3 linked regions of the Xenopus tropicalis genome follow. The protein of the gene in region 1 interacts with the protein of each later gene in a biochemical or structural test. Links are inferred from orthologs where the notes say so. Each region holds a gene or a part of one and is shown in the gene's direction. Other genes may lie near its edges.

Region 1 (3,857 bases):
CTAGTTTGTTTATCATATTTCAGCAGTCTTTAAAGTGTTTTATGGTCTTCTACACCGAGCAATTTATTGTACATGGTATTATCCAGTGTTATAGTATCTGTTCCTATGCAACTGATACTGTTGAAAATATACACCTATATAGACTTTTGCTTTAAATTACCACAATAAATAGGGACTTGTGTTGAACATGTATTCTGCCTATTATTTGATTAAAAAAAAAAAAAAATTCCGAAATTTTTTTAAGCACGCTGACAATCCTCTCCTAGTTGTGCCTGCACCCAAAAGCATTGAAGCCACCTGGGTGCAGGCATATGTAGTTTTTATCTGCAAACAAACGTGAGACTTGGCATTTGTTGGTAGATATCAGCTGCGTGTGCCTGTAAGACCTTGCCAGACGTGAGATAGGATACGGCTCGTTATATAGAATGCTTATTTGTGGACTGGTAATGTGTTGTATGAGCTTCTTCTACATTTGGCATAATCAGAAAGTCTTTTTTTTTTTTGTAACAGTTAGTTAGAAAGCTTGAAAAGAGCAAAAAACATATCTTTTTTTTTTTTTTTTTAAGCAAAATAATATCCAAAGATAATTTTTTCCAAATGCCCTATTTATTAAGCTCATGTTGCAAATGGCTATATACTGCCCCTTTTAGTAATCCTTGTCAGCTAATGAAGAGCAGTAATACGTCATCATCTACAAATCCAGCTTATACCTCATGTAACTATATTATCACACTTTTGTCTTTTAATAGGTGCCTTTAAACTGCATTGTGTAGTCTTTCTAAGGAGCAGATGGAGCAATTTACAAGCAGTAACGGCTCCCCAGAGCAAATAGTGGTTCAGGCTGGACAGATCCAGCAGCAGGTGAGCATTTCTATGAAATGATGTGTATTGTGTTAGGATTTCGTATTATTTAAAAGTATTTTTTATTTTGAAACTATAAAGCCGTTCAGTGCCTTGTTGCAGGAAGTTAGTGGGAATCACTGAATGTTCCAGTATGTGATCTTTGGAAAGACACATGCTGCTTTTTCATGGTCTGGCTGTTTCTTCTTGTTCCTCTCCCCTTAGCCGGGTGCGGTCACTGCTGTCCAGTTACAGACCGAGGCTCAGGTGGGAGCAGCCTCGGGGCAGCAAGTTCAGACCCTCCAGGTAGTTGTGTCTGTTAGCTGCATGAGTCACATTTATTGCACTCCATGCAGTATTTGTATGAATAATGCTTCTATCACATAGAGTGCATTTTGTATAATCTTTGTATCCAAGCACTTATCATGTTTGAACTTTTAATATGTTGTCTGTTTTATATACTTGCTTACTTATTCAAAGTACAGCATGAGCCCAATACCTTGAGTTACTCCTTTTACCTACTTTGCATGAGCCTGGCTTTTCTGTCATTGCCTATCACCCCTAACCCACCTTTTGCTAAGAGTTCTTGTATTTGTGGCTTTCTCTGTTTTTGTCTTTACTGAAAATTTCCAGCATAAAATATTTGTATAGTTAAATTAGATTTACAACAATTGTTATTTTTTTTTACATAGGTACAAGGTCAACCACTTATGGTGCAAGTCAGTGGGGGGCAACTGATCACCTCTACTGGACAGCCAATCATGGTACAAGCCATGGGTGGCCAAGGTCAGACTCTTATGCAGGTGCCGGTATCTGGATCCCAAGGACTGCAGCAGGCAAGTGCATTAGATATGTGAATAATATGAAATGCACATATTCTGTGCTTTATATTACAAACATTCGAGTATTCAGTTAGAATATCAACTAGATTTTATTAGGTACATAATACTGTGGTTATGTTCCTATTCTTAGTGGGACAAGCTATATCTTGCCGTTTAAACCTTTCTTACAGATACAGCTGGTCCAACCAGGGCAGATTCAGATTCAAGGAGGACAGGCTGTACAGGTTCAAGCCCAGCAAGGGCAGCCCCAGCAGATTATTATACAGCAACCACAGACAGCTGTAACTGCAGGACAAAGTCAGGTGAGTAGAAGTAACAAAGTATTCCTGTGTTATATATAGGTTGAGAGGTTAATTTGAAGAGATAACTGAAACAAGGGCAATTCTTTAAATGTAAAGGTATCCCTCTTGTCCTTCATTCTTTTCATTTTGAGAAGTAATCCCCTGTCTATATTTTATTACTCCCATAGTGCCCTCTAACTTATAAATAAAGAGTTTTGATGTTTGCTTAAAACATCGCTTCCGCAGTGAAATTAAACCCATCTTTCCTCATAGCTTAATTTTGCACTCTTTTATTATTCTTCCTGATGCGAAGGGAACCAAAACGGCAATGCTTATTAAGACGAGGAAAGTCAAATTGTGTGAGGGCTGCCAATTCATTAGGCTTCCCCCATTGAATTAAATTGCTAACATTTACCCTGGGCCGTTGCTTTGTCTGGTGAAACAAAATTCACCGGCCCAGCTTTATGCCTGTTTAAGCATCGTGCTGCTATCGAACCCCAATTTACCAAGTATCCCTTGCGATTCCGCTAGACTTGCATATGTGCATGTTATAAAGATTCCTGATATTATAGTGCACACGCGTAGTGTGGTGCAGGGGATCTGTGGGAAACTGAGGTAAGATGGCAGTTTGGCTATTGAAGTTATAACCCTGGACCACTGCATTTATTTCCAAAAAGGAGCCCTGACCAGGGGAAAAGAATTTAGTGATTTAATTCACAGGGGTTCCTAATCAATTAAGACCATCACCTGTTATTCGACTATAAGGTAATTTACCAAAAATGTATAAAGTGCCATAATGATGATTTTATCTCTATACTATACCCTCAGTTATAGGGAGTACTTTATTAATGCTAATAGATTGACACTGCCTAGACTTGTGTCTGTTATCAACAATAACTACAGAATTGTTCACAGTTTTGGAGACCCCAGCACATTTCTGAACTAGAGTTCATGGTATTTTCCAAAGTGCATAACTACATTATTTATCAATTCAAAATATCATTAGATCACAATATAACACTCTCTCCCTTTTCCTAAGGGCAAAGTCACGAGAAGTGTTGGCTCCGCTTCTCTCCACCTGTGTTTTGTAGGCAGGCAAAGAGAAGCAGATCCGCTCTCTCCACATTACTGTGTAGGTGCACTGACAGGTACAGCTTTGGCCTTAGTGCAGCTACACAGAATGGAGATCAAATGAAAATGCCTACCTCAAGGTTTTTGGGACGATCTCTGCCCTCAGCCAACAGTACATGTAGTTTTGCCCTAAAGTCCATTATGCAGGGAGGTTACACGTGCACTGGTAATCTAATTATCTTCCAAGGAACAATTATGAAGTAGTTTCAGCTTTAAAAAGCATTTTGTAAGTAAATCATTAGGCAAATAGTATGCGATAAGCCCTATTCATTTAACTCATGTTAAAGAAGGTGGTACACTGCCCCTTTGAAATGTAAAAATTTAAAACTATTCAGCCAATGAGAGACCCCGCTCCAGGCCAAATAATGAGAAGTTAAAGAGCCCGGCTGGGAGGCACAGACTGGGGGGGTTTCGGTCCAACAGTGCGTTATAGGGGCATGAGGGGCAGAGGCATTTAGTAGGCGGAGCAATCTGAGTGACACGTCTCCTTAGCCAATGACACGGCACCTGGGTACGGCTCACAGAGGAGTGGGCGTTCCCTCTGACTCACAGTGACAGCCAATAGAAATAAAGCATCAATTACCCAGAGTCCTTTGTTGTATTCTGGGATGTATTAACTGCCCGAATTTACTGGCCAATTGGAACTAATACAGGGGTCACCCCCCCCACTGTGACCAACCCTCCCCCCACTGTGACCAACCCCCCCCACTGTGACCAACCCCCCCCACTGTGACCAACCCCCCCCCCACTGTGACCAACCCCC
Region 2 (4,586 bases), about 76 Mb from region 1:
ACGGACACTATGGGGCACATTTACTAATCCATGAATCCGAATCACGAATGGGTAAAAATCATATTGGAAACGAAAATTTCGGAAGATCGCAAATATCACGAAAATGCTTACGAAAAAATCGTATTAGTCACGATAATATCGTATTGGCGATCCGAAAGTTGCGAAATTTTCGTACCGAACAATTGTAAACAGTGGTAAAACCTTTATGATTTTTTCGTGCAAACGTCTGAAAAAGTCGTGCGGACGCCCGAAAAAATCGGCGAAAATACGCTCGGAGTGTTCACGCTTTTGTAAATGTGCCCCTATGTCGTTTTGCCTCAAGCAATATGGGAATTGAGCTACATGGAAGCATCAGCAAACTGTACTATAAAATGGAAGCTTAATGGTGATGGACTCAGTTACACCTTTAGGGCTCTGGCACATGGGGAGATTAGTCGCCCACGACAAAACTTCCTGTTCGCGGGCGACTAATTTCCCCGAGCTGCCTTCCCCTGCCATCCCACCGGCGAAAATGTAAGTCGCCGGTGGGATGGCACACGCGGCGGCGCGATTTAGCACAAATCGCCGAAGTTGCCTCGCGAGGCTTTTTCGCCGATTTGCAGGGGAAGGCAACTCGGGGAGATTAGTCGCCCGCGAACAGGGAGTTTTGTCGCGGGCGACTAATCTCCCCGTGTGCCAGAGCCCTTACAATCTAATAAATACAGCCAGGACTGTTTTCTCAAGAAAAGGCATTCATTTTTTATTGAGCAATATATTTCTATTAATGATAGGACTGACAATGCTTTACTGGACTGGCTGCTTAATAATTATTGATATCAATTTGGAAGAAGTGGCCCAATAAAGAAAATAAGCCTTATATATTGTGCTCGGCTTTATGTAACCTATGTCACTTTTTTTTATTGTTGTAACTCTGATATTTATTCTAAACCTGCTATTTTCTATGCACGACCCGTCCATCATTCCCTCTCTGTATTACAGATAATGCGGCCCCTTTAGTCACGTAGCCACTCAGTCGCAACTCCGACTGCTGCCATCTTGCTTCCTATTTGCACGTAGGCTGATGCCGAATAAAAACGAATACTTTAATAGCTGTGGCCAGTTATTCTAAATAATTAAAGAGCGACATTCTGCAATTCCAGCAAATGGCGCCCAAACCCTACAACGACCAGTCAAACTTTAATTTCCCTTCCCCTCCTCACACAGCTCTTCAATTGCTTGCTTTTCTCGTATGATTCGTCACTTAATGAAACGCCTTGGACTTCGTTCGATTATGATTGGCCCTTTTCAGTGTCACTCTAACCTTGGGAAGGGTTCAGACTAGAGAGCCACCACCCCCGCCACATTCTTTCATCTCCCTCCCCCATCACACACCGCCTCCGTGGCTGGGCGGGGTCACTCCACCTCTAATTGGTCAGCCTTCTCTGTCAGTCTCCAGCTAACTGCACCCACCGCGCCACCCCATTGGGCGGGTGGAGCCGCCCCTCGGCGGGAGTGGTTAGGCGGTCTGTCGATCTCCGCCCGTAGCCCCGCCTACTCACCGTCTCCGCCGCGCGGCAGCCAGGTTAGGTTGCCATCGTCAGCCGAGGTTTGTGTGAAGTACCTACGGCCCCAGAAACAACATGAGCGGTAAGCAGGAGAGTGGGCATAAGGGCGGGAGGTAACGCGGGTTCGCAAGCTTATCCCAGAGCCCCTCCTGGCTTGCTCGCACGCAGCTTGTGTGAGGGATCGCTCCCCCTGGCCACTTTGTGGGCTTTTTGCTGCGCGCCATGACTCGCTGGCGGAATGCTGAGAGCGGCCGGTACCACCGGAGGAGGAGGCGGGGGTGTAGAAATAAAGTCATATCCGCCCTCACTACTTCGTTCGTTCTCCTTCCTCGCCCCCTTTTTACTTTTCCCTATAACTGGAGAGGTGGTTGTGGCGGTAGAACCCCTCCCTGCTGTCCTCCTCTCCCGCCCTGTTTTTCTGCCCCCTTCGGTGGGTGGGGTAGAATTGTAAAATTGCCCCCCGCCCCTCCTAGCATGGTAGCCGGTACTTTTCGTGACACAGGGAAAGGGCAATACGTGACCCTAAAATGTTCCCCGGAACCCGTTGCCTTCGCCTATAATGTGAAGCCTGCGGCCCTCCTTCTGTAGCCCCCCCTGCCCAGAGCAATCCTTGCCTCACACTGGGGATATCTGCCCCTCTGGCGCCCAAACACTCCCAGTATCCGTAGCTGTGGGGTATCTGTAGTTCCCCTGAAACCATTATCCGCCCTCAGCTCGGGCAGTTTCACTGACATCGTATGGATGGGAGGGACCTTCATCCGGTAGATCCCTTCATTAACCTGCTGAACGGGGCCGCTGGGAGTTGTAGTTTGCCTCTGGAGTTGCCATTACTCGCAGGTGAAGCCTATGTAGACCATTTATATTTATTTGTAAATCATTTTACTTCTAGAACGTACTCCTCTACAGAGGGTTGTGGGAGTTGTAGTTCCACAACAGTGCTGCTAAGGCTATCTAGGCTGATAGATGGGAAACATGTTTGTGAGTCTCTTCACTTCCAGTATTGAGAGGTTTGTGAGAGTTGTAGTTCAGCAGTCTGTTTCTAAGCTGAGGGGTTTGTGTTTCTCAGGGAAGTAGGGCCGGCCATGTTGTAAGCCTGTGTGTGCATGTTTACTCACTGCCCTCACTCACACACTCTCTCTCTGTGCTTGTGCCCTTCGCTGACAGCAGATCAGGAGCACACGTCCGATGACATGCCTACGATAAAGTCCGAAAACCGGACAGGAGGTGGATACATCCAGAAGGGGCAGGTAAGCGGAACCCACCCATATTGCATTATACACAGATAGGCAGGGACCATGCCTGGGAACTATCCAGCCCTCTCGCCTTGGCTGCCTGTACACTGGATGAGCATGGGGGAGGGGGGCTGAGGCCTTTTTTTTTTTCCTCCTTTCTCTTTGAGAATGGCTGCTGTCCTCCCACCCTTTGGCTGGCAAACCTCCCACCCCCTGTTCCTGACTGCCCACTTGGGGCAGGCCCCAGAAACCCTTCCCCCCAGCCCTGTCCCTCCTGTTCTCTCTCTGGCTGTCTCCTTGACATGCTGGTTTGTTTACATGCTGGCACTCTTTGTGCTGTTGCTAATACTGCAAATGGCACCTAGGACATAGCCGTAGAAGGGTTAAATTGACATTCACGTTCAGTCTTGCATCTTATTGGCAGCTACATTTTTAATTAAATTCAGCAACTGCATCTGCTGCTTCGGCTGGTGGGGGCCGAGTGTAAATGGCAGTTAGGGTTAAATCTGCTCAGATTTGTAGCAAAGGCTGGAAAGGCAATGCTCCACTAAATTTCACTGAGTGTTATTTTTGCTATTGTGCAACAATAAAATATCACTTACAGCACACACCCAGTTTATTCCATTGTGGGTAGTACTGTCTTTGTACCAACACCCACCTAGGCATGGTTATCTCTGCAGCTTGTGCTGTCTTAGGCCATCGCAGGAGGTGGCGCCCCCAACTGATGATGTTGGATATCTTCCCAACGCTGAACCATGTATATGTAATAGAGTGCTACAGCTATAGAATCCCTTATCCAGAAAGCTCTAAATTGCTTGCAGACCATCATAGAACTAAGTTTAAAGGGCACCTATCACCATTTAGTTTCTTCCCGCCACCAGAGGTGTAGGCTTTAGAGCCCGCATTCTGGAAAACAATAGGTTTTTTTTTTTAAACAGCCCCCACGGGCGGCCATGTTATTTAGCGTGCATGTGCATAATGAGCAAGACTCCTCACTCATTGTGCGCAAATGTGTGACGTAGGAGCAGCACACACACACACACATATATATATATATTATATGTGTGTGTGTTTCCCCCAACCAGAGTGCGGGCTCTATTAGCCTGCACCAGGATGTGGGGAAAGCAATTCGATGTGATATTATGCTAATAATACTAATTTATAAAAATGATTTCCCTTTTCTCTGTAATAAAACAGTAGCTTGTAATCGATAGTATCTTAGCTGCATAAATCTGGGGCAAAACAATTCTTTTGTGTTTTGTATAGTGATGCAAATTACTCAAATCCCTTAAACCTAGGTCCATGCATTCAGGGTAATAGGTCCCATTCAAAGCTGTTTGTTTTTTTTTTTTTTGACAACAAATTTTCTTCCATTATTGACTTTCCATTATATTTATTATTTTAATGTAAAATAAGTAATACTGTGTGTTTTTCCTGGGAATGCACACTAACATGCCTGGGCAATGACCCACCTGCACCATTACCTCTCTCACTAACATTGGGGTAAGCTAAGGCTAATGCCACACGTAGCATATGGTGCATTGGCCTGCCTTCTCCTGTAAGGTGGTCACTCTTTCTACCATCTTTCTGTGTGTCATTCCTCAGTACATTTATGACCTTATCTTTTTTTTATGTGTGTGTGACATTCATATATCTTCCCTGTGCAGCACTGTCTAACCTATGGTCATAAAGTCAAAAGTCATACTAGTCTTTCTAAAATAAGGGCAGTGTATAGTTCCTAACACTTCCCCTGGTTCTTGCAGTTAGCTTTTAGGCTCCACCCAGATCTGACACTGTAGTGTAGAGAGAG
Region 3 (3,857 bases), on another chromosome or scaffold:
ATCGTTTCCAAAGTCTTAATACCTGTCAATAGCATTCCCAGCTACAACGCTGCCATGGACAATAATACCCTTTTACACGGTGCTTACAACAATTTTCCCTACCCCACAGTCTCGGAAATTAAACTCCTTACTTCTCAAACCAAATTCACAGAGGAGCAAGTAAAAATCTGGTTCTCTGCGCAGCGCCTCAAGCACGGGGTCAGTTGGACGCCCGAAGAAGTGGAAGAAGCGCGGCGAAAGCAGTGCAACGGTACAGTTCATACCGTTCCTCAGACAATTACAGTGATTCCTGCTCATCTGTCCACTGGTGCCAATGGTTTGCCTTCTATTTTTCAAACGTGCCAAATAGTAGGTCAGCCAAGTCTTGTTCTCACCCAGGTTGCAGGTACAAATGCATTACCTGTGACTACACCCATAGCATTGGCTGTAGCTGGAGTTCCAAACAGTGCCCAGCTGCAGAAGGCCCCACTGGCCACCACCCAACCAATACCAGAAACAAAACGAGTGTTGACTATCCCCGCACCACAGATTCCCAAGCAGGAACAGACTGTGATAGGTATTGATTTCAGTATGCGTTCAAAGAAAACAAAGGAACAGTTGACTGCACTGAAAATTAGCTACTTAAAAAGCCAGTTTCCACATAATTCCGAAATTGAACGCTTAATAAAACTGACAGGTCTCACAAAAGGGGAGATCAAAAAATGGTTTAGTGATACGCGATACAACCAAAGGAATTCAAAGGGTAGTCATGGTATTCATTTCACTAGTGACGGTGGGGGCATAATCTTCGATTCTGGCGATGAAACAATAGACTCTCCTACTCTCGTGCCACCACCGCAACGCAGCAGGCAAACTTGGAACCCTTTCCCAGATTTCACACCTCAGAAGTTTAAGGAAAAGACTGCAGAACAGCTTGATGCTTTGGAGGAAAGTTTTCTAAAAAACTCTGTACCCACAGATGAGGAACTAAACAAATTAAGGGTTCAGACTAAACTAACAAGAAGAGAAGTCGATGCCTGGTTCTCGGAGAAAAGGAGATCTACAGGCATAAAGGAGGAAGCAAGTGACCTTAATGAGAGTAATGCAGGCCTGTCTATAAAAGAAGAGGTGGACGCAAATTTTGGGGAAAGTGATGCTTTGGGAAATAAGTCGGGGGCAATGTTTCCGGCAAAGCTTGGAAAAAAGTCCCCGGAACAGTTGCACATGCTTAAAAATGCATTTGTGCATTCACAGTGGCCATCCTCGGCAGAATACGATAAGCTGGCGGATCAAACAGGACTTGCCAGGAGTGATATTGTGGCCTGGTTTGGAGACACGAGGTATGCGTGTAAGCATAACAATCTGAAATGGTTCTACCAATATCAAGGGCAGAACCAGAACATTATGAATGGCCAAACCTCAACTCGAAAACGGGGAAGAGGCAGGCCGAGAGGTAGAGGAAGAGGGAGGCCTCGAGGGCGTCCAAAGGGTCCAAGAAGGACAAATAATTGGGAGAGGGTGACGGTGCCAAAACACAAAACTGGGAAAGCACTGCTAAAGGACTACTATGGGACACACAAATTCCTTAACGAGGAAGACCTCGACGAATTGGTTTCCAAATCTCGCATGGGCTATGAGCAGGTGAGGGAATGGTTTGCAGAAAGGCATCAAAGAGAGGATGCTGGTCTGGATCCTTTTGATGAAGAGGAAGAAGACGAGGATGACTTTTTGGATGACCAAGATGATGAGGAAGAGAATGGAGACACGGATGATAGCGACACCTGGGAGCCCCCAAGACACGTTAGGCGCAGACTTTCTAAAAGGGATGATTGATTTGTAAGTAGGATCTGTACATATGTAATACTGCTAAATCTCAAGCATTTTGTTAAAAGGGGAACTAAACCTTTGGGGGCCAGGAGCTTTATATATGAACTAGCTATTGTGGCTGTATTTCCCAAAATCCAAATCCTCTGAATGTCTCTTTACAAAATGACTGACTTCCCAGTGAAACATCAGCAAATTACAAGGTTAAATCTTTCTTAGGAGTTGATGCTTCAGGGCTGATTATTCATTTTGATGCAGAATGCACTGGTTTCCATGCTGTCATGTAATGTGAATTTTATATTGTATGGGTGTATTTGCGTATATCTATGTATATCTATCTATTTATCGCTATATAGAAAGATATAGATATATAATATAAAAGAGAGTGTAAGGGCTCTTGCACACGGGGAGATTACAAATCTCCCTGTTCGGGGGCGACTAATCTCCCCGAATTGCCATCCCACCGGCGAAAATGTAAATCGCCGGTGGGATGGCATACGCGGCGGCGCGATTTCACTGAAATCGCGGAAGTTTCCTCTCTGCCAGAATAGAAAAAAAGGATGCTATTGGTGGCTGAAATCTTACCTGCCAAAGGGCTGGGGTTACATTTACCTTAGCAACCAGGCAGTGGTTTGAAGAAGAAGAAGAGGGCCTGACTAGAGTTCTGGAAAGAATCAGTAAAACTCTAGCCGCACACAGTTGGGGTTCGCAAGCCCCAACAACCCAAGTATATTTTTTTGTTGAAATATCTGTGTTGTTGCATTTTGTCTTAAACTGCAACAGGACAAAAACCAGCACGTTCCAACATTTCAATGTGGTCAACAGGTCATGTGACTCCTTCGAAATCCTGTCAGGGGAGAAGGGACTAAAACATTGATGTTACTAATGGTAACAGCTTCTCCACCGCTTACAGACAGCATGCAACTACACAACCCACAATGCATTGCACTGTGATGTTCTTTTCCTTATTGACATCACGTGTGCAGCAGGGAATTGTGGGATTGGGAGGATGTAGGCTGAGGACAGGCGACTACTGTTACATTTTATTTGAGTGTCATGAAAAGGCTGCATATTTTTTAACTGATATTATTTTTAAAGTTGCTCGAAATTATGTGTCTTTTTAAAAAGCTAAAGTTGTGTTTGGGTGGAGTTCCCCTTTAATATAGCCTATCACCCTCATAGCTTTCTCTCTCTGCATCAGAGTCGTAATTGCCTGCCATTGGCTCAGTGTATATTAAGTGGAGTACCTTGATTGGGCTGTGCCCCACACAAAAAATCTTTGAGGCGGCCTGGCACATACCCTGTAGCACAGCCCCTCCCTTCCACCCTCGCTCTTGCACATCCAGGGGACACGGGGGCCCAGGCAGCAGGGTCTGATGTGTGCTAGTTTTCCCTTTAATCTTCGCTGCTCATTTGGGGCATGTGGCAAATATTTCAGAGAAGGGGATGGAAAGGGGAAACTTACACAGACCCACCATCTGGGCCCCCCGTGCTGTTACGCCACTCTCAAAATTTCCTTACTATAGACTTTGCGGTATCATCAAACATTGTCATTCTCCCCCTAAAACATTATTTATTGAATATGTTGGGGAACTAGTAATGTCCAGACTTGCGCCAAACCCACCCCTTCTCAACCGAGGCCCAACCCCTACCAGTTCTGAAAAGGGACTCTTACTCTGGATCTTGTGCTTTAGCAAAGGGCATGTCAACCCCCCAAACAAAAATATTAGTTAAAAGCTTCAATGCAATCTTCAAATACCTGGCACTCTGGCAGCTTGCTTAGTCCCTCCCTTCAGAATTCTCCTTGGCGTTGGGAGCCATGTATGCTTTCAGCCAGCTTTTCTTGCATATGTTCAGCAGGGCGGTCGATATGTGTAAATAACTGTGCATTTTAATAAAATAATAAATGTTTGTTTAACCATTTTATTAACAGATATCATTTTTCCCCTACTTCCCACAGACAAACGACAAGAAGTTCCAGTTACTGTGAGTGGGGTACCTTTTCTCTTTTTGAAAACCGTGAAACACCGAGGACGATGACTTTGGGGAAGGCC

The links.
Region 2: the proteins of nfya (region 1) and sp1 form a complex in vitro, tested with the Homo sapiens proteins (2 studies listed by BioGRID). The link is inferred for Xenopus tropicalis from reciprocal best matches to the Homo sapiens genes NFYA and SP1.
Region 3: the proteins of nfya (region 1) and zhx1 form a complex in vitro, tested with the Homo sapiens proteins (2 studies listed by BioGRID). The link is inferred for Xenopus tropicalis from reciprocal best matches to the Homo sapiens genes NFYA and ZHX1.

The regions. Positions count from the first base shown.
Region 1 is NC_030678.2:71,398,259-71,402,115, reverse strand, and holds part of nfya (nuclear transcription factor Y subunit alpha), read left to right. Parts: intron 1-749; 5' UTR 750-789; coding exon 790-861; intron 862-1,065; coding exon of another isoform or gene 1,066-1,149; intron 1,150-1,532; coding exon 1,533-1,676; intron 1,677-1,852; coding exon 1,853-1,984; intron 1,985-3,857. UniProt on the Homo sapiens protein: Component of the sequence-specific heterotrimeric transcription factor (NF-Y) which specifically recognizes a 5'-CCAAT-3' box motif found in the promoters of its target genes.
Region 2 is NC_030678.2:146,984,071-146,988,656, reverse strand, and holds the start of sp1 (transcription factor Sp1), read left to right. Parts: upstream 1-1,570; 5' UTR 1,571-1,619; coding exon 1,620-1,626; intron 1,627-1,933; exon of another isoform or gene 1,934-2,281; coding exon of another isoform or gene 2,282-2,381; intron 2,382-2,708; coding exon of another isoform or gene 2,709-2,711; coding exon 2,712-2,791; intron 2,792-4,586. UniProt on the Homo sapiens protein: Transcription factor that can activate or repress transcription in response to physiological and pathological stimuli.
Region 3 is NC_030682.2:139,787,285-139,791,141, reverse strand, and holds part of zhx1 (zinc fingers and homeoboxes protein 1), read left to right. Parts: coding exon 1-1,812; 3' UTR 1,813-1,815; intron 1,816-3,763; 3' UTR 3,764-3,857. UniProt on the Homo sapiens protein: Acts as a transcriptional repressor. Increases DNMT3B-mediated repressive transcriptional activity when DNMT3B is tethered to DNA. May link molecule between DNMT3B and other co-repressor proteins.